Danio rerio: one gene and its partner. The protein of the gene in region 1 interacts with the protein of each later gene in a biochemical or structural test. Links are inferred from orthologs where the notes say so. Each region holds a gene or a part of one and is shown on either strand. Other genes may lie near its edges.

Region 1 (7,010 bases):
GCTTGTTTCTCTTCATTTAATTGGCTAGTTACACTTTTGTCTCTGTCATTCGCTACTTGATTTGTCCGCTTATACATCAATTAAAATTGATAACTATTCTAATTGGCTTGAAAACAAGATCGGCACTGTTGAAAGTATCAAAGTGCAAGTATGTGGGAATGGTGATAAGTTGGCAAAATAGAGGTTGTAAATGGCACTAATTCCATCTGACGATTGCTGTTCCTATATTTATTTGCAATAGTGTGCAATTTAATGTGTGAAAGGAGAGAAATTACTTTTTCTGCTTAACAGAACTGTTTGGGAAAATATCTAATTGCGATTTGTCTGACAGAGATTGCAATATGATTTCTAATTTAATTATGTGAAGTAAAGCTTTAGCTCAGTATTGTCAACAGTATGCAGCACTCACTTGTCCAATGATCTAAACTAATTAAATCTTACAGTTTTTGAGGCATTTTCTAAATCTCTTTAATTAAATTTAGCATTTAAGGCAATATCAAATATGTTTATTGTGGACAATGGTGGCCAATTCAGTTAGGTACCCACTGCAGTATAAATAAATAAATTAAAAAGATAAAATATGTTGAATATATTATTAATAAAATTACACATTTGATTTGTTTACAGCATTCGTTGCAAATATGTTTGTTTTTTTCAACAAAGTAAGCTATATTTGATGATGCATAACCATCTTGTACATGGTAAATAAATATATTTTCTTTTTGTATGGTCTCTGTTACAATTCACCAGGAACTGAACAATGTTATATAATGTAAACTTTGATTTATAGGAACTATTCATCAAAGAAAAAGTGTCACCATTTGCTCACACTGGTGTTCTTTAAAAATTGTTTGCCATGATACATAAATACAAGATCATATTCTCAAGAATGTTGTCCAAACAATATTATTTCCTGTTAAGTATGAAAAATGAAAAAATTACCAAACTAACTTTTTTTTCTCATAGAAGATGTAACAAGGAGGACATTGGTCTTAATCTGAGCTAAATCCCATAGTATGATAATGTACAAACATCCATTTTCTCCAGATGTTGTTTTGTAAATAATCATTATTGTCTCCTATTTTATCAATGCCTTCTTTTTTTTAGAAATGTGCTTACTTTGCAAACTTTGCTTACTTTGTATAATTATAACCATATAGTTTATTTTGTGAACAAAACACATGACTAAAGGATGGTTTCCTAAAAAGATTTTGTAAGCTTTTCTATTAGCTTGACAAAAGTCCAACTAATAAAATTTACATGAAAACAATGAAACCATAATTCATTCATTCTCCTTCATCTTAGTCCCTTTATTCATCAGGGGACGCCACAGCAGAATGAACCGCCAACTTATCCAACATATGTTTTATACAGCGGATGCCCTTCCAGCTGCAACCTAGTACCAGGAAACATCCATACACACTCATTCACACTCATACACTACACCAATTTAATTTATTCAATCCACCTATAACACATGGCTTTGGTCTATGGGGGAAACCGGAACACCAGGAGGAAACCAACGCCAACACAGGGAGAACATGCAAGCTTCACACAGAAATGCCAACTGACCCAGCTGGGGCTCAAACCAGCGACCTTCTTACTGTGAGACGACAGTGCTAACCACTAAGCCACTGTGTTCCATAAACAGAAATAAAATGGAATACAGAAACTTGTGCAAAATAAAATATTTTTTCATATTTATTGTACAACATATAGATACATTTGGTACATAACATTTACAATAATAATTATATTATTTACAATGGTACCAATAAAGAAACAACACAAGAACAAAAAACAACAGAAATCAAAACAAAGAAATATGATATCAATAGGTTATCTAATCTGAGAATAGATGCAACAGATAATGAAATTGAAAATAAAAAGGGCAAAATAAAAAAGATAACAAAGATTGGGATATTTAATAGATTACACATGTTGTGCAAATTGTTTACGTTTTGAGTGCATTCTTGTTAAGTGAATCTGGAATTGTAAGTAAATTTTGATCTCTTGTATAAAATACACAAGTGGATTTTATATTTGAAAATTTTATTTATAAATATAAAATATAGGCAGGGCGAAGCAGTGGCGCAGTAGGTAGTGCTGTCGCCTCACAGCAAGAAGGTTGCTGGGTCGCTGGTTCGAGCCTTGGCTCAGTTGGCGTTTCTGTGTGGAGTTTGCATGTTCTCCCTGCGTTTGCGTGGGTTTCCTCCGGGTGCTCCGGTTTCCCCCAGAGTCTAAAGACATGCGGTGCAGGTGAATTGGGTAGGCTAAATTGTCCATAGTGTGTGAGTGCGTGTGTGAATGCATGTGTGGATGTTTCCCAGAGATGGGTTGCAGCTGGAAGGGCATTTGCTGCGTAAAAACTTGCTGGATAAGTTGGCGGTTCATTCCGTTGTGGCGACCCCGGATTAATAAAGGGACTAAGCAGAAGGAAAACGAATAAATGAATATAAAATTTACATAAAAATAGAATAGGGTTTATTGTGAAGCAGACATTAAATTTGTATCTACAACCCAAAATAATAAATGTTGGATTCACAGTAAAATTCTGTAAAATAATATTTGAGATAAAATAAATAAATAATAATCATGTTACAGTTTGGACCAATGACAGTCACGCATCAAAAGAGCGGAAAAACGCATAGTAGAAAAGCCTATGACGAAGAGCCGCAGGAAAGTGGGTGTGGTTATTGTAAAACCACGTGATTGTCACCCAATCAAATCATACAGTCACAGCAAAGAGGCGGGAGCAAAACAAGTGTGTTTTACATGAGCTTTGCTGCAGTCGCGGCTGTGTCCAGTTTATCGAAATGGCGGAGACGGCAGACAGAATGGAGGTAAGCTGAAGCTACTCAAGGCCGGTTCGCCAAAAACGCTTCTGATGCTAAATATCTCGTAACCGTATCAGAATCGACACGGCGATTTTATTTACGTCACACGCCGGTTCCGAATCTTTGGTCTGTGAACAGATTTGATTGCTGCGTATGTAGTTATCAGGTGGCTAGAAATGTGCGCACACGCATCTTGAGCATCCATTTTAGCCTGCCGCAGATAATTCATTCATTTCGCATCACGTGTATGCTAGTGCTAATGTGCTAAATTTGAGCTAGCTTCGAGTTTTTAGTTGTTGAGTGTAACCACAGATGAATTTTGAGATTAAATGTATGAATATTTCTGTCATGTTAGCTACCGTTAGCTCGCTGTTCAGTTTCCACGTGAGCACGCTGGCGGAGGACTTCAATGACTTATTGTTGGGCAGAGACCGCATGGGACTGATGGATAGGAGCTAACGTTACGCTTTTTTTTCCTCTCTGCTAATCACAGTGATTGGGTTTTTTAATAAAACATCCTGTATTGTTTACTATGATCTAGTACTTGCGTCGTGACTAAGTTTTCTTTTAGACCACTTTTCCTCAAATGTGTATAATTAAAAAGTAGAAAAATTTAAGCTTAAGAGGACTCTTCAAAGGTTAACGTTAGGCGTGTGAAGATAAAATATGACTTTTTTTGCTTAACTATCCATTTTAAAAAAAAATGTGTAAAATGGTTCATTGCCTGCTGTGATATTTGCCAAAAGTTGGAACTAAATTCAGAGGAAGCCACCGACTTTATGTAGTTCTGTGTAAAAACACTGTTTACTCAGGGTTATTTACACTTGGCATGTTTGGTTTAAACATGTTTTGGGTCATCTCTTGACTAGTACCTTATTGCTTGCTTGTTTGTTTTAATATACTGAAGATACTGCAAATGTTTGAGAAAAGCCCAGCTCATGACTTTACTTGCTTATTTACATTTTTCTTATCTATTGAAATTGAGGTGTCCCAGGGAGAGAGCTCAGCGAAACCTGCAGCTGAAGACATGACGTCCAAAGACTATTACTTTGATTCCTATGCACACTTTGGCATTCATGAGGTACTTTCTTGTTAGTTCATTAATCTCAGCATTAGTGGTGAAGTCAATTTAATTTATTTATAATTAATGTAAACCCATTGAATCTTCACAGGAGATGCTAAAAGATGAAGTTCGTACTTTGACGTACAGAAACTCCATGTTTCACAACAAGCATCTCTTCAAAGATAAAGTTGTGCTGGATGTGGGAAGTGGTACTGGCATCCTCTGTATGTTTGCAGCCAAAGCTGGAGCCAAGAAAGTTATTGGGGTGAGAAGTAGTCCCATGATTTATTTAAAGCATTTTTGTTACATTTAAGCCATTTATTTGTATGTGGTATTATTTGATCATGCTGTGTATTGTCAGATTAATTTATTAATTTGTTGGTCATTTATTCCTTAGATTGAGTGCAGCAGTATATCAGACTATGCTGTGAAGATTGTGAAGGCCAACAAGCTGGATCATAGTAAGGCCTTCTCAGAGCTTTTGGCATCTTCATTGTTAACTTATTTTCTCAGCATGTTTCAAGGGATAGTTCACCCAAAAATGAAGTTTTACTCCCTCTCAAGTGGTTCTAAACCTATCAGTTTCTTTTTTTCCTGTTGAACACCAAAGAAGATATTTTGAAGAAAGCTGTAAACTGGTAACCGTAGTGACAGGTTTGCATCTTTCTTCAAAATATCATCTTTTGTGTTCAACAGAAGAAAATCACAGGTTTAGAATGAGTGAGGGGAGGTTAAACAATGACCATTTTCAGTTTTGGATTAACAGTTTTGGCCTATACCCATTTTATTCTTTATGTACCTAAAATTTTTAACCATGTACTTTTTCCTGTCCAGTCGTCACTATAATTAAGGGCAAAGTGGAGGAGGTCGAGCTTCCTGTGGAAAATGTAGACATAATCATCTCTGAGTGGATGGGCTACTGTCTCTTCTATGAATCCATGCTTAACACCGTCATTTATGCCAGGGACAAATGGCTGGTGGGTGTATGCTAATGTCTTTTACCATGTTGAAACTGTTCAGTATAAAATCGTATGTGCTTTCTTGATTTAATCACTGTTCACGTTTTCCATTGTTGGCTTTCAGAAACCTGATGGCCTGATTTTTCCTGACAGAGCCACCCTCTATGTCACTGCTATCGAGGATCGGCAGTACAAGGATTACAAAATCCACTGTACGCATCAATCTCTTAATGCACTCTTGAGTCTGTTCAGCTTTCTTTAAAGCAGTAACTCATTTAATTGTTTCATATTTGCACTTTTTTAGGGTGGGAGAACGTGTATGGATTTGACATGTCCTGTATTAAGGAAGTGGCCATTACAGAGCCGCTGGTGGATGTTGTTGATCCCAAACAGCTTGTTAGCACTGCTTGCTTAATTAAGGTTTGTTTGCAACCTTTTATTTTCCAATGTTCACATAATCCCTGCTTTCCTCATTTAATATTCAATACGTTTTCTTGATTCCTTAGGAGGTGGACATCTACACCGTGAAGATTGAGGACCTGTCCTTCACGTCACCTTTCTGCCTGCAGGTGAAAAGAAACGACTACATTCATGCTCTGGTAACCTACTTCAACATAGAGTTCACTCGCTGCCACAAGAGGACAGGCTTCTCTACCAGTAAGTGCTGTGTGTGGTGTTCACCACAAAATCACTTTGTATTCACCACGAGTTTATTGTATTGAAGGATGGTTGAACCCTGTTTAAAGTGAGTTTTGCTTGCAGGCCCAGAGTCTCCTTACACTCACTGGAAGCAGACTGTGTTCTACCTTGATGACTATCTGACAGTAAAGACTGGAGAGGAGATCTTTGGCACTATCAGCATGAAGCCCAACGTCAAGAATAATGTGAGCCTTGTGTGCACGTCTTACTTTTAGCACCTTTAGTGAAAGTGTAGGGATGGTCATATATATCTTGTTACCATTTTAATGGGTTGATTTCTGTATTAAATTGAACATTTTTCCAGTTTCTAATTTATGAAGTCTAAAAGCTCTTCATTTGGAAATTATATTGTAAAATTACAACTTAATCACTTCTAAACGTTTTCACTTTCTTTAATATTAATTAGGGGTGTTAACCTACACTGGTCTCACGGTTCGGTAACGATTATCATGCCATCGATTCAGTTTAATTCGATATCTCAGTGCAAAATGAGTTTTTTTTTTTTTCTCCCAACACTATTTTTTTTTTTATTAAAATCTGAAAATATATTAATATTTATATATTATTTGTAACACAATTTTGTCCTTTAATACAAGAAGTAAGATATATGAACTGTACCTTTAATTTGACCTGCTCAAAGAAAACACTCTTTTTCAAGGTATCAAACAAAACTCCCAATACATACACAGAAGACAACATGAGCATTTTTAGGCAATAAACTTATGGAAATATTATCCCACTTGCTTTGAGCGTTGTTGAGTGAGGTCTTGCCTCTATGACTGGTTATTGTCTTCACCCGTTTGACAGAAACAGCTGTGATTGGCTTTAGACATAAAAGTGCTGTTCACTGATGAGTGACACGGGAAGAACAGCCATGGTTACAGTCTATATGTGCATAATATGCAGTTATCAAAGGTAATCCACAGTGGAGAAAACTCGCACCACAGGGAGGTTCGTGTCTGGATCCACAAGTATCGCTTTACCAGCCAAGAGAAGGGGAAAAGTTAACTCATGAACAGGCCAGCGGGTCAAATATACAAAAGTGAGGGAGGGAGGGAGGGAGGGAGGGAGAGAGAGAGGCAGAGATGGCTTTTTACAGCATTTCTCCTTAGTAGTATAATAGCGGCTCATGTGCTGTGTCTTCTTCAGTCAGTCTCAATGAAAGCCTTTCCAGTAAACTCACAAGCAGTTGAACTGCAAAATTATCTACCTTTTCAGTAGTAGGAGCGTTTTATTTACTTGCCCTCTCCTACTTCGCCATAGTATTCTACTGCGACATCGTGCATAGGAGATAAATGACATCAGTATCCAATAGTTTTTTGACACCCCTAATATAATAATAACTTTAATATCGGCCAAATGTTATTTGCAGAAAAGTTAATATATTTAGACATGCATCTCTTGACTAGCCAATTTTTTTTGCAGGATCATGTACACTCTGCCTGCCTGCAC
Region 2 (5,729 bases), on another chromosome or scaffold:
CTGTTCTGACACTTATCCGTTTCCACAGGGCTTGAGTTTACAGGTGGAGAGGGAACAAACTATCCTCTGAAGTTTGACTCCGCCCCTGGTGAGTCTTAAATCTCCTGCATAAAATAATCAGAGCGAGCTGTTGTTCACTTGTTGTCGTTGTAAGTAAGCTGAGTGTCTGTGTAACAGGTGCTTGGAGAACTGCCACGGAAGAGTGGGGCACGGAGGACTGGAATGAGGATGTGAGTATTTGAACCGAGACCAAAAACCTGCTTTCCTTTTTAAGAACAAGGATATCAATTTTTTTTTTTTTTTTTTTTTGCTCTCCTGTCTAGTTGTCAGAGACCAAGATATTCACTGCCTCCAGTGTGGCATCCATGCCCATTCCACAGGAGAATGTCACCATTACTGCTGGACAGAGGTATGCCAATGGATTTTTAAGAGAATATTGTTGGCTCCTTTAACTGAAATCACTTCGACCTGTCATTCATTCTCCAGCACTACCAATGAAAAATTGGTTAATGCTTACAAAGGTCTTCTATGGGTGAGGCTAACTAAGTGCCGTTCACATATCATGTCTTTTGCGCACACAAGTTTGTTATTTCCAATGGAGGTGCACGCATTTTGGCAGTGATGTGTGCGCAAGCGTTACTCTGGCTTTCCAGGTGCACCTAGTTGAAAAAATGGCATGAGCGCACCACGAGTCACTTGACGAGAACTGATCGATCAGCTCCATTTTTTTTAATTGGAATATATACATTTATTCTCCGGAGTGAAAAAACTAAACCAAAAAAAAGCCAAACAATTTTGTAACCGTACGTTCACACCGAAAGCGGCGAGAGCGTCAAAGTATCCGGAAGTCATTCATTTTCAATGAGAGCCGGCGGCGATAGGCGTCGATAAGCGGCGAGGAGCAGCGCGGCGCGTCTTCGCCGGCGTGAGCGTCGAGGAGAGTTGAAATTAAGTCAACTTTATGGTAATGAGCTATGACGCGGTTCGGCGGCAAGCAATCAGAATGAAGACGTCCACCGCTTGATAGCAGTTCAGGGAACACAGACCTGTGAACTTTGGTTCCGACCACAGTTGTTCCCAAGGGTTTGATTATTGCGGTCGCCGGATTTCCCATTATTTACAATGTTTTCTTACAGGAACATGCATTAAATAAGTTACTGGCGAGTTACTGATGTTTATTAATGTTATATAAATTTATCTTTAAAAAGCGGGAATCTCACGCGATGTGACGGTACAAAACAGTACTGCTGCTACAGGATATTTCAGACATATGGACACATATTGGATAAATAGAGCAAAGCCACACCACATGCAACTTGATCTTCCATTGTTGTATGAATTTGATAAGAAGTGCGCAACATTTTCAAGCTAAAAACATGTCTTATGCAGGAATGTAACTGATATGCTGCAACGGCTCCTTTAAGTACGAGATTAATGTAGCGAGTTTTGACGCTCTCGCCACCGGAGCTGAAGGCAGACAGCGTTGTCGCCAGGGCGGCCAGAGCGACCTTGGACGCTCTCGCCGCTTTCGGTGTGAACGTACGGTAATATAGTTGATCAAGAGTGCCATTCAGAAAGAGGTTCCTTTGCCTATATTTCTTGTCTTTTATAAATGCTAAGATGTAGCTTAGATTCACATTATACAAATGTTACTTATTTATTTGTTATTTAATTATTGTTCTGTCATTTAAGTCAAAAAAGAGAAATGGGCTATTTTTTGCTGTATTAATTATTTACAGATTAGCAATAATTAACACTTTAAAACCAGTTTTCATGTGATTTTTCTAAACTAGTAGTGTTTTGAATTTAATAAATAAATAATCATGATAACTGTGAAACTGATTCTTTTTCAGTATACTATATCTATATACTATCACTATAATCATACAAATAAAATCTATAATCATTGCATCCATCCATATTATATAATAATCAATTTTCCATTATGATTTTAAATGCCTTGCTAATTTAATATTTTATTATCCTATGCACTCACCTTTCTTACATAAGCATGTTTGGTTTCCAGGATTGATCTGGCTGTCTTGCTGGGGAAGACGCCTCCCTCTTCCTCTGAAGCAGAGCCTGCTTCACTTGAAGGCCCACAGCCACAATCTCTGTCTCAGTCTCTAGTGTTCAGCAACTCAAAGCAGACATCATCACTGTCTCAGTCCTCCTCCAGTGCTCCTTACAGCCAGCACAACATGGTGAGAGAGCTTGTGCTTGTGTGTTTTATTTATTTTCTTATTTATGCATAGTTTAAATTGTCAGCATTTTGGAATTTTATTTTTACATCTAGATGTAAAATATTTAATTAAGCTTATTTGGAGGTGTGTAACAGTTTGTTGAGTTTGTCAAGATTTGTATCATTTTAAGTGTCATTTTAGTTGAGTCTTTTTGGAGTTTCTTCACTAGGATATGCTGTATATGCTGATATGCTTTTTCATTTAGAACTTCAGATTGATTTTAATAATAAATGGTATCCCACACACTTTATGCTTATACAGTTGCAGCATAATTTTACTATTGTCATTTGCCTTTTTCCTCAGGTGAGCATGCTCGGTAAGGGTTTTGGGGATGTTGGTGATCCAAAAACAACCACTGGAGGTTCGACGACTGGTTCTCAATTTCTGGAGCAGTTTAAGACTGCCCAGGCTTTGGCCCAGCTGGCGGCCCAGCACTCACAAAGTGGACCACCCAATGCTGGTCCTTCTACCTGGGATACCAGCCCATCTGCACTGGGGCAATATGGTAAGAGTCATCCTTTTGCTGCAGTTTCTCAACATTGTCTAGTATTGGGTCATTAGTATTAGACATGGTCTTACGCCCCATTCACATGGGGCTTCAGTGTCAATGCATGACCGAGGGCGTGTCTGAAGTCGGGGCTGACGCGATCGTCATAGAAGCGTCAGCCAATGAAATTAGCCAGCAATGGGCCACTGTCTGAGCTGGTGTATTTGCATACAGCGATATGATTGGCTGACGCTTCCGTCGACGCTTAAAGTTGAGCAAGTACCAACTTTTGCAGCGAGCAACGCCTCTGAAGTGGCGCCGACGGATCCACAATACAGTTCGGCATTGCCTGATGTTACCCATTCAAAGTGAATGGAAAGCGATGAAGCTGACACCCTGTGTGTTTGGGGCCTTAGTCAGTGGCATTTTGTGAAAAAAAAAATTTTAATTAATTTTTTTTTACCACGAGCATTTACACAAACCCAAACCAGTTTAATGTTTGCACTTGTATTTACTGTGGCCTATTTTTGATCGACTGTATGAAATTACATCTTTAGTCAAACCACTGGCAGGACATGCTCTCACCTTTCCATATGCACCAGAAATTTAGGGCATACTCTCACTTTTTTACAGTTGCCTTAAACTTTGCCGAAGTGCGCTTGTCCCATCTCCCCCAACGGCCCGCATTACATTCGGGTCTGAGCACGCTTACATCATCGTTGATGCCCTGTTCAGTAAGCAACGCTCTCGCTCAGCACAGTGAAGATTTCTTTATTTATATCGTTTTAGTCGTTTGGGATGCAGTGACGCGCAGTCAAATGTCTCGCCGAACAGATCAGCAACTTTTGAAGCTTCTAAACGACCATAAAGTCCCTGTGCTGCAGGAATTACGAGGTTTGCTAAAGGTGCAGCGAGGGGTTTGCGTCTTCATTAATCTACGACAGTTTGCTTTCATTGAACAGTAAGAATGATTAATTAATCCATATGAAACCTTAAAACCCTTAAAAGTCACGTCTCGTCTTCAGTTTCGGGCTCAGGCACGCTTTGTATTTGCACTAGCCCAAGTGAACTGTTCTCTTGCACACCTTTTCCAACCGGGTCAGGTGAACCATGCCTGAGCCCGATTTAGAGCACTCACACTTCTCAAACAATCCAGGAAACGGACTTGGGCATGGTTTGGATAGCATAGTGTGAGTGCACCCTTTATCAACACTCTTCCTTGTTTTTGAAAACATTGTGTAATTCTTGGTATGCTCCATAGGTGAGTGGGCTTGCCAAACCACTCGTAGGACACTTTCTCTTCCTAGTCATAGAAATTTTTATATACTGCTGTTCTCTGATGATTTTGAAGTACTAAATGAGTAAATGTATTGTGTAAATCTTGTTTCTGCAGATATGAAACCTCAAACAGAGCCTGTGCACAGTCCATTCACCAAACGGCAGCCCTATCAGCCAGCCTCCACCACCACCTCTATGATGGATGCCTTCTTGCAGGACAAAACCACAGGCCCTTCTAGCACCTCAGCTCTACCCCCTCAGTCCACCCAGGCATCTTCACTGGCCCAGGCCATCACCACCCCAGTCTCCAAACCCATGGGAGCTGCTCCAGGACAGCAGAACTCTTCCAGCCCAGCTGACCCGCAGGCGTCCAGCCCACTCCCCCTGCAGCAGCACAAACTCAAACAGCAGAAGAAGAGGGCTTCCATCACGACCAAGGTCACCTTTCTCAAAGTATATTGTGCTTTTAGCTGTGTTTTTGGGTTTAGTGGAATTAATCCATTTTACCAGATTCACCTTTTTCTGGATGCGACTACATTTCAAATTATGGCTTGCACTTTGGTTATTGGTAATTTGTATTAAAAAAATTCTTCAAATGATTATCTTATGCTACAAATGATCAAATACATAGTGCAACTGAGTGAGAGGTATGTCAGGATTTGCATTTTTTAAATCCATCGTGAAAATTTAAACTTTTTTTTTTTTAATTTTTATTTAAAAAATTTTTTTTTAGACCATTGATGGCCCGTTTGCACTTATTTCACTTAATCCACTTTTCACTTAGTGTTACGGTACACTTTTATAGCCGTTACCACTGTCAAAAAGGTACAGTAAAGCAAACTGTGCCACCTTTTGGGTGTCATTTTGAAAGGGTACCTAGCACGACAAAAGGTTACCAAAAAGCGGAGCTAGACCCGCAGCTGAATGCTATTGGTTTACGGAGATGCGTCACTAGCGCGTACACAAGCCAGCAGAATGAAAACGAAGGAAGCGCCATTTTTAAATGCACAGCTAAGACATTACACTGTAATAGTGTATGCTTATAATAATGAGCCATGGTCGACCCGAGCTCAGACAAACCTTGTCATCGTCTTGATGAACAGCCACAAAGCCGAGAAGAACAAAATCTGCTGTGTCCTGTTGTTGTTGTTGTTTACGGGGCCGTCTTAAAGTGTGTGCTCGTGAGCTGCTGTGCATTTCTGTATTTGAAATAACAAGCTTTTTGGGCTGATGATAATAACGTGCGTGTGATTTTTGTTGAAGTGCTTCTGACTTTCAACCCTTTCAGAAACGAGTGAAGTGCGGAAAAACAGAATTTGGAAAAAAACAAAGGAGCAAATGATTTTTTCTGCAACCTAAAAGATGAACAAACTGCCATGTTTAACTATTATTATCACCTTTTGCACTATTATGAACTCAATGGCGGAGTTACTTTATAACAGAGATGAGAGGTCTGCACTGACACTGACGTTATGTTGCGTGTTTTTGAAGCCAAATAAGGACTAAATGTATGCTGAGGTAGTTTTTCTGTAATTGGTAATATCTGTAAGGGTCTGTATGTGTTCATATGTTGCATTTATTTTATATAGTTGCGGATGTTACAGTAGGCTATTTCACACCATCATTGATCTCCAGTTATAATCAAATCATGTTCATAGAAAGTTAGTAATAAACATTTATACACAAGTATTTTTGTATAAAGCATCTGTTTTGTGAAGTGA

The links. The genes of interacting proteins can lie anywhere in the genome.
Region 2: of the proteins of prmt1 (region 1) and ubap2l, one has a biochemical effect on the other in vitro, tested with the Homo sapiens proteins (2 studies listed by BioGRID, with this or other methods). The link is inferred for Danio rerio from reciprocal best matches to the Homo sapiens genes PRMT1 and UBAP2L.

The regions. Positions count from the first base shown.
Region 1 is NC_133178.1:31,170,499-31,177,508, reverse strand, and holds the start of prmt1 (protein arginine N-methyltransferase 1), read left to right. Parts: upstream 1-2,725; 5' UTR 2,726-2,816; coding exon 2,817-2,843; intron 2,844-3,822; coding exon 3,823-3,918; intron 3,919-4,009; coding exon 4,010-4,165; intron 4,166-4,297; coding exon 4,298-4,361; intron 4,362-4,734; coding exon 4,735-4,877; intron 4,878-4,983; coding exon 4,984-5,071; intron 5,072-5,163; coding exon 5,164-5,279; intron 5,280-5,365; coding exon 5,366-5,516; intron 5,517-5,621; coding exon 5,622-5,743; intron 5,744-7,010. UniProt on the Homo sapiens protein: Arginine methyltransferase that methylates (mono and asymmetric dimethylation) the guanidino nitrogens of arginyl residues present in proteins such as ESR1, histone H2, H3 and H4, FMR1, ILF3, HNRNPA1, HNRNPD, NFATC2IP, SUPT5H, TAF15, EWS, HABP4, SERBP1, RBM15, FOXO1, CHTOP, MAP3K5/ASK1, MICU1 and NPRL2.
Region 2 is NC_133194.1:8,827,569-8,833,297, forward strand, and holds part of ubap2l (ubiquitin-associated protein 2-like), read left to right. Parts: intron 1-28; coding exon 29-88; intron 89-177; coding exon 178-230; intron 231-323; coding exon 324-409; intron 410-2,026; coding exon 2,027-2,204; intron 2,205-2,546; coding exon 2,547-2,748; intron 2,749-4,123; coding exon 4,124-4,446; intron 4,447-5,729. UniProt on the Homo sapiens protein: Recruits the ubiquitination machinery to RNA polymerase II for polyubiquitination, removal and degradation, when the transcription-coupled nucleotide excision repair (TC-NER) machinery fails to resolve DNA damage.